Drosophila melanogaster: one gene and its partner. The protein of the gene in region 1 interacts with the protein of each later gene in a pairwise test. Each region holds a gene or a part of one and is shown in the gene's direction. Other genes may lie near its edges.

Region 1 (4,854 bases):
TGGAACACCAAAAAGAGGAGGAAAAGTCCGACAAGCCAGAGTTGTGTAAGAAATTGGCATTGCAACTAACATCCCATTGGATTATACATAATTTCCGAATTCCGCAGCTCCAATTACTCTGCTGCAGCCCATTTTCTCCGCCCTGACTTGCACGTACCGCATCGAGGCCTACTGGTCGTACGAAATCTGCCATGGCCACCATGTGCGTCAGTATCACGAGGAGCGCGAAGGAAAGAACGTCAAGTTCCAGGAGTACTACCTGGGCAAATGGACCGATGAAAAGATGGAAATACTGACAAAAGCCTGGCAAGCAGACATCAAGGCGGGCGTTAAGCCGAAATACAAAAGCCTGAAGATCGACAACACTCGGTATCCATACTTTGAGATGGAATACAGCGATGGCACTATGTGCGACATAATTAACGCTCCTCGCACCACAATGGTGCGTTATGTGTGCTATCCCCATGGTAAGAACGATATCTACTCCTTCAAGGAGACATCCTCGTGCAATTATGAGGCCATTATACTTTCCTCGGCGCTGTGCCCAATTCGCGCCCTTCATGCCGAAGAGACCAAGGAACTATCCATACAATGTTTCAACTCCGAATCGAAACCGCACAGACCGCTGAGCATGCTGCGGTCGGAGCTAAAGGAATGGGTTGAATCCGAGGCGGATCTGCTGGTTTTCAAGGAAAAGGCTACGGAAAATCTGTGGCCCAAGACGGATGGCGATTTGGTCACCCTTAACTATGGCGGTGATATGGAAAAAGTCCTGCTCGAGCATTTCAGGAATGGTGACCTGAAGGTAGACGGAGACTTTCAGCAGCTCCTGCTGTCTATAGCAGCCTCTGAAACTGGACCAACACCCATCACTGATCTGACGCCCCTTAAGGACTTTATATCGGGCAAGAACTGCCTAACTGGGGTAGGAATAACATGCAGCTGACCCATGCATTTGCTTCAATAATACTCTTTTTTTTAGGGCAATGGCTGGTGGAAGTACGAGTTCTGCTATGGCCGACATGTGCGTCAGTTCCACAAAGATAAGACCAGCGAAGTGGAGCTCTTTCTTGGCTACTTCTCAGAGGAAGCGCATCGTGCTTGGTCCAACGCCAACCCGGACAAGGGTGCACGCCGTTCCGGCTTCACGACATCCATCTGGCACCATTATGGCAAGGGAACCCACTGCGAACAGATTGGAGTGCCCCGCGAAGTGGACGTGAAGTTAACCTGCACACCTGTAACGAACAGCGGCACCGCTGTATCCATGTACCTGCTTGAGCCGAAGACGTGCCAGTATATCCTGGTCGTGGAGTCGCCCACAATATGTGATCTCATCCACAACGCCGATTCCCAGGGCCTAGTTAAACTGGAGAATCTGGACAAGATCTTGGTTACGGAAACCGATAAGTCGACTACCAGTTCCGCTTCTGCTCCTGCTCCAGCTCCAACTTCCAGCACAGATGAGGAGAATCACCCATAGGCTGTCCGTGTATTCTAGTGAATTCCTATAAATACATTGATTGTAATATTACAATGCATTTGTATTTCAATTTGTAAAGTGGATGAAACCGATTTTAAAATTTAAGAACTCTGTTTCGGTCTGATAGAATGTAATATAGAGATCTAAAATATTTATTCGTACAGTATTCGTAAAGTATAAATTCAGGCTTTATTACAAATACATCATATTCGAACTCCTTAGTTTTTTTTTAAACTATTCACACAATTTATTCTCTCACTGATCTTCTTCTTCCATAATAAGCATTCGCAGTGCCGTTATTACTCCATACCTATCGATGTCTATCGTTTTTCGATGTCGTGTGCTCAGCAGGCTGATATACAATAGAATCTAAGTTTCCCGAGTTCTAACTGAAAATAGAACAATCGACGTTTAACAATTGCCAAATTCACAGCAGTGTAAAGTTTTAAAAAAGTGTAAGTTCCGTTCGCTGACTGCACTGATTCACATCCCGGCCAGTTGGGGGTGTGAAAAATCAATTGGGTTGGGGGTTAGGTACTGCAGAAACGTGCCCCCCGCCCGGCATTTAGCAAGCTCAAAAGGCGCTGAGCGATAAGCCAGCGGAGTATTACACAATTTGTGGCGGCACCCAAACTGATTCAGCTCTTTTCTTGCAGTTCATCACACATAACACACATCCATAAAAAGACCGGCTCAATGGCGATGACTCTGAACATTGGCTCGATGAAGCTGACAAAGTGGCAGCTGGCGCTCATCCTTGGAACTCCCCTGGCCATTGGACTGGGCACCTATGCGGTGAAGAGCTGGACGGCTGCGTCCAAGGAGTTGGACGGGGAGAAGAAGAGACCAAAGGCCAAGATCGAGAAGCAGGCCATCTCCCTGGACGGCACCGCACCGGACCAGGAGCTAGAGCGCAATCAAAAGTCCGCTGAGCTGGGCGAGAAGCTGTCGCCTCTTAAGGAGGCCAACAACTACAAGACGGAGGGTAACAACTGCTACAGGAATGGGAAGTACGATGAGGCCATTAAATTCTATGACAAGGCCATCGACAAGTGTCCCAAGGAGCACCGCACTGACATGGCCATCTTCTACCAGAACCGCGCCGCCTCTTACGAGATGCTCAAGAAGTGGTCCAACGTCAAGGAGGACTGCACAGCCTCGCTGGAGTTCAATCCTCGTTACGCCAAGGCATATTATCGTCGTGCCCGTGCTCACGAAGCCACCAAGGATATGAACGAGTGCTTGGACGATGTCACAGCCACCTGTATCCTGGAGATGTTCCAAAATAATCAAACTATCATGTTCGCTGACCGTGTGCTCAAGGAGACCGGCCGACTGGACGCCGAGAAGGGTATGCGCAATCGGGTGCCAGTCGTGCCGTCGGCTTGCTTCGTAAACACCTACACGCGTTCCTTCATCGCGGATCCGCTGCAGACCATGAAAGTCCCAGCCCCTAAATCCGATGCACCCCCAAAGGGTTTCCTGCGCGCCCACCTCGCTTTCCTCGAGGAGAAGTACGAGGAAATTATTCCCGCCTGCACCGAAGAGATCGAATCCTCCGAGGCCGAAGCACAGTACAAAGTGGAGGCTCTGCTTATGCGGGGAACTTTCCATCTGCTGTGCGGCTCCTATGTAGAAAGCCAGCAGGACTTTGATGCTATTATAGCTAATGGTAAGAATTTGTTTAAGTTTAATTCATTAATTAGTCGGTTTTCTTCAGTTGTTTTTTGATTTCTATTCTATTAACTTTATTTCACTACAGACTATGCTGATCCCAACTTGCGTGCGTATGCCTACATAAAGCGGGCAGCTCTCTACATCCAGCTGGATCAGCGCGAAAAGGGTATAGCCGATTTTGCTGAGGCGGAACGCCTGAACCCAGAGAACCCAGATGTGTACCACCAGCGCGCCCAGATACTTCTGCTGCTGGAGCAGATAGAGCCCGCCTTGGCCGAGTTCGAAAAGGCGGTGAGCATTGCACCCAACCACGCCATCGCCTTCGTCCAGAAGTGCTATGCCGAGTACCGACTATCCCTCCTGGCCGGCGACCAGCGGCGCTTGGAGAGCGTAATGCACACCTTCCAAAATGCCATCGAGCGTTTCCCGAGCTGCGTTGAGTGCTATAGTCTAACGGCTCAGGTGTTGGCCGACCAGCAACAGTTTACCCAGGCGGAGGAATACTACAAAAAGGCCATGGTATTGGCGCCAACAAATCCTGCACTTATCGTTCACCAGGCCATCATGGTGCTTCAGTGGCGCGGAGACATTAATTTGGCTGTCCAGCTGCTCAACAAGGCGATCGAAGTAGATCCCAAATGCGAGCTGGCCTACGAGACACTCGGAACAGTCGAAGTTCAGCGGGCGCAACTCACACGGGCCGTCGAGCTTTTTGAAAAGGCACTGCTTTATGCCAAGAGTCAGGCGGAGTTGGTGCACGTTTACTCGCTGCGCAACGCGGCAGTGGCCCAAATCAACGTCACCAAAAAGCTGGGTATCGACATGAACTCAGTGTCGGCAATGGCCCAATCCGGATTGATGGCCCAGGGCGTTGCATAGAGTATGAAACCGGTGTGTGTTGGGATTGATATCCCGAGAAAATAAGAGCCAGCGCGGAGCATTTAGCCAGCAGTCCTACTCTAATTAAGTTAATATCGACCATACCTGTTATTTATATATATATATATAAAGCTTGTTTACGTTTATGCTCCTAGCTTTAGCATAGAAATTGTCATGTATTATGGTACATATGTAAACTAGAATCTGTTGCCTAAGGAATCCACTAAGACAAATCCAGTAGCTTATGTTTAAGCGTAAGATTAAACTTAAAACAAGCAAGTCTCCTCATTGTGGCTCCCGTTCCGGTTGGTTAAACGCCTGGACATCGCCGGATATGTAGCTGGCGCCGATTACCCACATGGCGGCCCTCACACTGCTCACCAGCTTGTAGTCGGTCTCCAGTTGTTCCAGATAGGGCATCAGAAGTGCTGGAAGCGCGCCCATGCCGCCCGAAATGCCCATCAAAGTGCCAGCATAGTTGGGACTCATATCCAGCGGTAGCAGCTTAATGCTCGCATAGTAGGCTCCCATGCCAAGAACGCTCCAGATTCGTGCTCCGCTCATCTTGATCTGTAGCATGTACATGGATCCGCATAGGAAGACCAACCAGGACATGAGGCGGCGTGTCTGAGTGCGCGTGAGAATCTGCTGCTCGATTAGCACGTCGCTCAGCCGCCCTGTTGTCAGTGAAGCTATCCAGTTTCCAACGGACGGTGCTATCGTTTCGATGATGGTGGTTAGTTCTGAGAAACTGGTGCCACGGGCTCTTACTTCCTCTAGCGCAATTTGCAGCTCCTGGGGCAATTTCTGTTGGA
Region 2 (7,664 bases), on another chromosome or scaffold:
TGGTGTGGTGGCCCAAAAGGGGGCCAAGAATTCGAGCTTCGACTCCAGAAGTAGCGCCAAACTTTTATGCACAGCACCATGTTTGGTTTGTCTTTCCAGCTTCCGCTTTTCTTCTTGCCGCTCGGGTTTCTCTTTTCCTTCATCCTTTCTCATCCTCGGTGATAGTATCTGTGCTTCAGTGTGTGCGTGTTTGCGGGGGCGGATAGTTGGGTTTCGGCCTCTTTGGGGGCGCCGGAAATGGGGCTGCCTCCCAGTTGTCGGTGGGCTTTTGATGCTCATACAGGGTGACATTGCCACTTCCGCTTTAAATCGCTGGAAATTAGAGGGGTATGAGCATTGAAAACTTAATAAATCTTAAATCTTGCTTAAAAGCAACTTTTATTTAATTTAAAGATATTATCGGAATAAGAATTCTATAAATGTAATTTCATAAAAGAAACTTATTTTTATGAAGTCTTACAACTTTGAAAACTGCTTAAAAAAGATTGATTTTGAAAAGAAATAAATAAACATCTTTTCTCTTTGAGTAACTACAATAAATAATGTCTTGAATCAATTATAAAGAGATTATACTTCAGTTTTACTAAGTTCTTTAATAATACTATAGTCACAGACTTAATCTTCACTTTTACAGTAGACATAATAACATTAATGGAATAAAATGTATGGAAATCATTATCCAGAATTCAAAACTAGTTCATTTAAATTTTAAGAATCCTTTAAGAATTTCAAAAAACTTTTGTTGTGAGACATTAGGTCCTTAAATAACCTGCCCAATGTATTGAGAAGCACCCGTTCCCATCTTGTTTATCGCCAACTTTTTTCACCCGCAAAAAGTAAAATGCAAGTGCAAAAAAGCGTAAAAGAAGACAAGGCCATTGTTTTTTTCTGCCTCTACTGCTGCCACTGCTGTGTTTGTTGCCTTTGTTGTTGCTGGCATTCTGGTCCAGTCGTGCCACTCAAAGAGCCAACAGCAGCAGCAGCAACAACTCAAGGAAATTGTCGCCGTCGAGCGGCAAACTCGCCAAAGTTGCCGCGAGTGCAAGTGCAAGTATGTCTTTGTGCCCCATCAGCAGCAGCAGCAGCGGCAGCAACACCAGCAACAACCAGCAACATGCAGCTGCCGCACGCCCACCGATGGCCGCCCACAAGCCGACTTGGTCTTGCATTAAAGCCAAGACATCTACGAATATGAGAAAACCAAATATAAAAAAAAACAAAAGAAAAGAAAACCCGCACTTCCCCTGCGCACATGCGCCGTGCGGCAAAATGGACGCCGGGGAAATGGCCAGCCAATCGCAGCGAGGCTGAGGTGTGGCCAGCGATTTGCGAGGGACTTGCTCTCTGCCAGAATTTCCCTCGCTGCTAATAATCACTTGAGACATGCGCACTGCCGGGGCAGAGAGGGGGTTGCTGCAACCCTTGCACCGATACAACCCCTGGCATCACGTGCAACACGAAGAGCTGCTGTTGTTGCCGCAGGCCAAGCGGCAGTTGTTGCTCCGCAGCTCCGTTGCTCCGTCGCTCCGTTGCTTTTGTAAACAGGCGCAGGCGCAGTGCGCGGGGGTACGTTTCAGCTGGGATTTTTTTTTTTTTTTGTGAGGGCAAAGTGAAATGCTTTGATTTCGCTGATGGTTCGATCACACGCCAACTGACAGCGAACGCGGCTGGTTGTCCTCGCATTCGGCAGCGCAAGAATAGGCCACCGAAATCATATTCTAAACGAAACTGAACAGAAGCGTAGTTAAAGTTAAAGCAAAAGCAATCGAGCGTCTTGTTTGTGTGTCGCGTGTTCCTTGTGCGGTGTTGCATGTGACATTTTCGTAGACTCGAAACTAAAAAAGTAACAGCGGTGTTTTGTGGCAACTCGTATACGATGCTGGAGTTCTACCCAATGCCCACGAATCTGAATCCAGTCGGTGGCAGTTTGTACTCGCTGCAGCAGAATCATGGCGGCGCGCGATTCCTGGACAATCCAAATCCCGGCAGCATGACTGCCAGCAGCGGCAACTCCCTGCATCTTAGCAATAGCAACAACAATCTGCCAACAAGCATTTCCGGCAACAATAGTCCCACGGCAACGGCTTCATTAACGGGGCAGCATCAGCAGCACCAGCAGCAGCAACATCAGCAGCAGCAGCAACACCCCCACCAGCAACATCAGCAACACCAGCAGCAACACGCTGCCTCGACCACGCCAGTGCCAATTAACAGCTGCCCCACGCCCACAGGACACAGCCCCCTCAGCAGCAGCAGCAGCAACAGCAACCACAACAATAACAACAACAACAACAACGGGGGCAGCAGCAGCAACAACCTCCACTCAGCCTGCAACACATTAACAGCTGCTGCTGTTGCCGCTGCCTCTGCCGCTGCTGTGGCAGCTCCATCGCCAGCAGGCACCTCAGTAGCCACCTCGCAATTAGGCGGAGCAGTTGCTGCGGCGATTGCTGCTGCTGCTGCGGCGGCTGCCGCTGCGACGACACCCACATCGACGGGCCCAGCGGCCACAGGAAGCGGAAATGCAAATGGCAGTGGCAACGGAAACGGAAATGGCAATGGCAATGGAAACGGGAATGGAAATGGGAATGGAGGTGGTGCAGCAACGGCATCGGCAGCAGCGGCATCCAAATTGTCTGCCGATTGCAGCGGACGCACAGGTATGTTCCAAAAGTATTTTGCACCGGCAGTCGAGCAATTTACCGGCTCGTTCCTCTTCTGGGGTTTTCACGCTTTTCGTTTTTGGCATACTTGCGTGTGCCCGGCCTGCGGGTCCGTTTCTGTATCCGCATCAGCATCCGTATCCGTGTCCAGGTTCGGTGCTGCGCTGCGTGAGTTCCAAGCTGGTCGGACGAGGCTCCAGATTGTGTACAACCACCCACACCTGAGTATGCCGGCAGTTTGCGTGCGATGTGCTCGGCTTTTTGGGGCCCAAGGAATGCTTCTCTAGGGGAAAATATATAGATATTCGTTGTTTTTTCTTGCGAATAAAGTTGAAGTGCTTATTTCAAAAGGTGTTTACTCCTGAAACTTTTCTTTAAGCGGAATATTTCAGCATTTATTGATTGCAGTAAAAATTAGCGTATATATTCATAACATTAAAATAATATAAGAGAAAAGTATTCTTCATATTAATTAGCCTAAAATCAAAAGTAAATAATAATTTAAAAAACATTAAATAAGAATGTTCTTATTTGTTACTAGTTTGCTTTTAGTTTGCAGAATGCAAGTAAAGTCAATTTGGTTAGATATATCATAGGTTTTGTTAATTATTATTGTATCAATATTAGCATAAATCCATGTTTAACTTGGAACTTAATTGCAACTCAGCTTTCAAAGAGTTGGATTTACTTTTTAGCAAGTGAAATAGCCAGAGGCAGATTGTCCACTTATGTAAAAACAGGCAAAAGCAAATGCACAATTTCCGGCTAACACGTACATATATATTGACAGAGGACAATAAATTATGAATTTGTAGTTGTGATGGCGCACACATGTTGTGGATAGTTCAGTGGGCGGATGTGCGGCAAGCATGGCGAAAGTATTTCCAAAAGTATGAACGCAAGTTGACCACAAAATAATTTTGACAATGAACCTGTCTGACATCCGCCCGGCACGGCCAAAAAGAGGCGTGGCTCGACCAATAAAAGGCTATTAAAGCATGCCACACACTGCCTCCCTCCCACACACACACACACACACACACTGATGCTTTGGCATGCAGGCACACATACACACACACTCGCATGCATGACAGCCTCAAAATAGGCAACACTTTTCAGCTGAGTTGCAACGAAAGTGTTGCTGGGGAAAACTTTTGCGAATTTCCCTCCGAAATGCAAAGTGTGCAAACAATGTGTGTGATGCATATGCAGACCAGACCTCGTCCGAGGCTAAGTGGATTGTGTTTTCGGTTTTTTAGTGCCCCTCATCCGCCCACTCAATCGCCCACAATAGCTGTGCTCTCTTGCCGGCCAACTTTGCATTTGCCTATGAAATTTCTATTAATGCTCGCATTCTGCCATTTGCTATTTGCCATTTGCCATTGCCCAAATGGCAGCAAATAGTTTCCGTTTCCGCTCGTTCCGTGCCACTACCCCAATCCACACACCACTCCCCGCCTCTCATCCTAAGCTCCATTTTCCTCGGCAAACACTTGGATGCCGGCTGCTAAACTACTATCGGTGGCCCACACTTTGCAGAGGTCGAGGAATTTCGAATGGGCTGCCATTGGGGGTGGTGTGCACTCGGGGGCAGACCACGGAAATGAGCACACTCAGTGTCAGGTATTCCACCGAGCGTATCAGCATACATATTTGGCTTCTGCGGTGGCTCCAGCTTCGTCTTCCTGTCCTACCCACAAACCCCACCCACCCAATCGCCAGTAGGTGTGCATTTGTGTGGCGGAAGTATGCGCCATACGCATAGTTCTGTGTCACTTTCCGTTGAGATCCAGCTACACTGAAACAAAACTGCTATTCAAGAACTATACGGAAAATCCACTGGAACTCACAAAGAGTACTACATTTGAGTTTAGAATGCAAAAGTCAATATATTTTGCAATCCCTATTTGTAATTTGATTAAATCTGTATCTTACATTTTAAAAGAGTAGTTTTTGAAGTTCATCCTATTTTATTCATTATTTTATATTATGATTAATACCATTTCCATGGTGTAGATAGCAACGAAGAGTTTTAAAGACCCTGTTTGTTTGTCAGTCGAAATGAAAGCTGTCGAATTATGAGCTGCCTGTCAACGATGAACTGCTGCCAAAATCCGCGTGGCACGTGGACTGGACTCCAGTTAGTGGCCGAATTAGTGCCAGAAGTTGGGTGCTGTCTGCCGATTTATCTCCATATAACCCCGCCCCGCTGTCAATGTGTCAATAAATGCACCATATAGTGCGACAATCGTGGGGCGTTCGGGCAGATAAGCCCCTTTATCGGCGATAACGACGAGGACACTTTTCTCTATTAGTTCTATGTTTATCGTCGAGTTGATTTTGGATTTATCTGCTGTTTAATCTATGTATTTGACATGAGTGTGCCGCACTTGTTCCGACTGTTTGCGCTTGTTGTTTGTTGATTTTTGGACAAGTTTCGCCCAGGCTTTACCATTCAAGCCCAAAAACACACACTCACTCAATGCAGAGTCCTTTGTTGGCCAAAACAATACAGAGAAATCGGAAAAAAAGCATACATAAAACTGCAGTAAAATGCCATAAATTTCGATTAGATTACACAAACGAAATCCCGTCACAATATCGATGCTCAAAGCTCTACAAAAACATGAGGCCAAACTCAAAACGCAGCTCCCCTCTGGGGTTTATCAAATGAATCATTCTTGATTTTTTGCTCGGCCCATGCAAAAACCTTTATCGCCAATGCGATTGGATATGGATACTGCACAATAGGATGAAATGCAAGCCAAAAAACAGAAAAAAAAGGAAAATAGGAAAATGCCCGAGGACATTGTCAACTTTCCGCTGCACTGGCTTAGCGCCCCCTTACATAGGGATTTTCGTCCCTATTCCCAGACTATATATCACCCATACAGCCACATTCGCGTAGATATGGCGACTGTGTGCGTTTGTGTGTGTGGGGAGGCCATTGTGCCAACCATAAATCATGCACATTTTTCTGCCACTGAGCCACAGCCATATAATATAACACTCCACTTCCATTGCCAGTTTCCCTCCGCACTTTTTCTCCACTTTCCCTCCGCACTTTCCCAACTCGCTGCTCATTTTTCAAATGCTTCCATACATTTTTCGTGGCGGTCGTCATATATTTTTTATGTTTACTGCATGCAGCTTTTGTTGTGTTTTTCGGGTACTACTTTTTATGACTGGTTTACAGTTTCAAGAGCTCCGTCTACGGGAGGATTAGGTTCGTTCTACTTTGGGTAAGGCGAGCTGAAATCCAGTAGCTCCTCAATGGGAGATTAGCATTTTTTAAGGGACTTTGTTTAGGAGTTAAGCTTTGGCTTAAGTTCGGTGGTATATACAATATCAATTGAGCCATTTTCTGGCATGTTTATATACATTGATAATCGAGATGGGGGGCTGTTCAATAATACCGAACAAATACGGAAAACTTTACGTTTCAATTACGCATCAATAAGCTTTCAATACAAGCTGTTGCAGTCCGACGACAGATAATTTTTTCCAGCGAAGAGTTTTCCTTCTGTTTTTCCATCGAAAGTGCGAAACAGCGAACGGAAAAACAAGAGAGACGTTGAAGCATTTTCACACGATTCGATTGTCAGCGCGCTCCTTGCTCCATTGGCAGCACATGTCATGATAATTTCGCAGCGACATGTGCCGCCATCACGTATACGCCACGTACGCCCATCACAGTAGGGCGAATAAGCGGAGTTACACTGGAACAAAATTACTAAAGTATTAGGATTCTTCTTTGAAATATTTCTGTTCTCAAGAAAATGTTTCATATATATTTTCCAAGTATGGGTTAAATATTCGATTAAATTGATTATTAATGTAGATAGATATATTTATTATATTTTAAACCTCAGTGTATTAGTTACTTGAAATGTATTCTGCGACTTACTAACGCGACTTTTTTCCCCCATCTTTGCTTGTTTCATCCCCAGAAGTGGGCCACATCAAGTGCGAGAAGAACTTCGAGCTGTGCGAGGGCTGTGGCCAGAAGATCCATGACCGATTCCTGATGAACGTGGGCGATGCCAACTGGCACGAGCAGTGCCTGGCCTGCTGCTACTGCGGAATGCAGCTGCACCACACCTGCTACGTGCGCAACTCGAAACTCTATTGCAAGATGGACTACGACCGGCTGTTCGGTGTGAAGTGCTCCTCCTGCTGCCATGCGATCCTGCCGCAGGAGCTGGTAATGCGACCCATACCGAACTTTGTCTTCCACCTGCCCTGCTTCGTTTGCTACGCCTGCCGATTGCCGCTCCAGAAGGGCGAGCAGTTCATGCTGCGCGATGGCCAGCTCTTCTGCTATCGTCACGATCTGGAGAAGGAGATGTTTCTGGCAGCCGCTGCTGCTCAGCACTGTGGGTTCGTTGGCCTGGACGAGGAGGATTTGCTGAGGCCACGGGATGGAAGGAGAGGTCCGAAACGACCACGCACCATCCTCACATCGCAGCAGCGCAAACAGTTTAAGGCCTCCTTCGATCAGTCACCCAAACCATGTCGCAAAGTGCGCGAAGCCCTGGCCAAGGACACCGGCCTATCGGTTCGTGTAGTGCAGGTGTGGTTCCAAAATCAGCGCGCCAAGATGAAGAAGATTCAGCGCAAGGCCAAGCAGAATGGTGGCTCCGGCGGAGGATCGGGCAGTGGGCGTGGCACGGGCAATTCCAGCGCCACCGACGATAAGGACACCAATGACAAGGAGGACAAGTGCGTCAAGCAGGAGCTCGGAGGAGATAGCTCCGGTTATTTGGGTGGATTGGACAGCACTTTCGCCAGCCAGCCGCTGAATCCCAATTTGCCCTTCTCACCGGATGGTAAGTGGTTCGATTTGAAGTTTGATTTCGTCCAAGCATTATTCTACAAGTACTAATGGCTTGCTTTTCAACAGACTATCCGGCCAACTCGAATGACAGCTTCTGCAGCTCGGACCTCTCGCTGGATGGGAGCAACTTTGACCAGTTGGATGACGATGCGGACTCGCTGTCG

Evidence for each region.
Region 2: the proteins of Tom70 (region 1) and Lmx1a interact in a two-hybrid assay, tested with the Drosophila melanogaster proteins (one large-scale study listed by BioGRID).

What each region holds. Positions count from the first base shown.
Region 1 is NT_033779.5:12,035,456-12,040,309, reverse strand, and holds Tom70 (translocase of outer membrane 70), read left to right. Parts: upstream 1-1,798; 5' UTR 1,799-2,017; exon of another isoform or gene 2,018-2,139; 5' UTR 2,140-2,179; coding exon 2,180-3,155; intron 3,156-3,245; coding exon 3,246-4,039; 3' UTR 4,040-4,307; downstream 4,308-4,854. Other genes in the region: CG6766 (uncharacterized protein), read left to right, coding at 1-45, 108-925, 983-1,483; CG18788 (uncharacterized protein), read right to left, coding at 4,325-4,854.
Region 2 is NT_037436.4:12,327,594-12,335,257, forward strand, and holds the start of Lmx1a (LIM homeobox transcription factor 1 alpha), read left to right. Parts: upstream 1-1,638; 5' UTR 1,639-1,876; coding exon 1,877-2,660; intron 2,661-6,613; coding exon 6,614-7,492; intron 7,493-7,566; coding exon 7,567-7,664.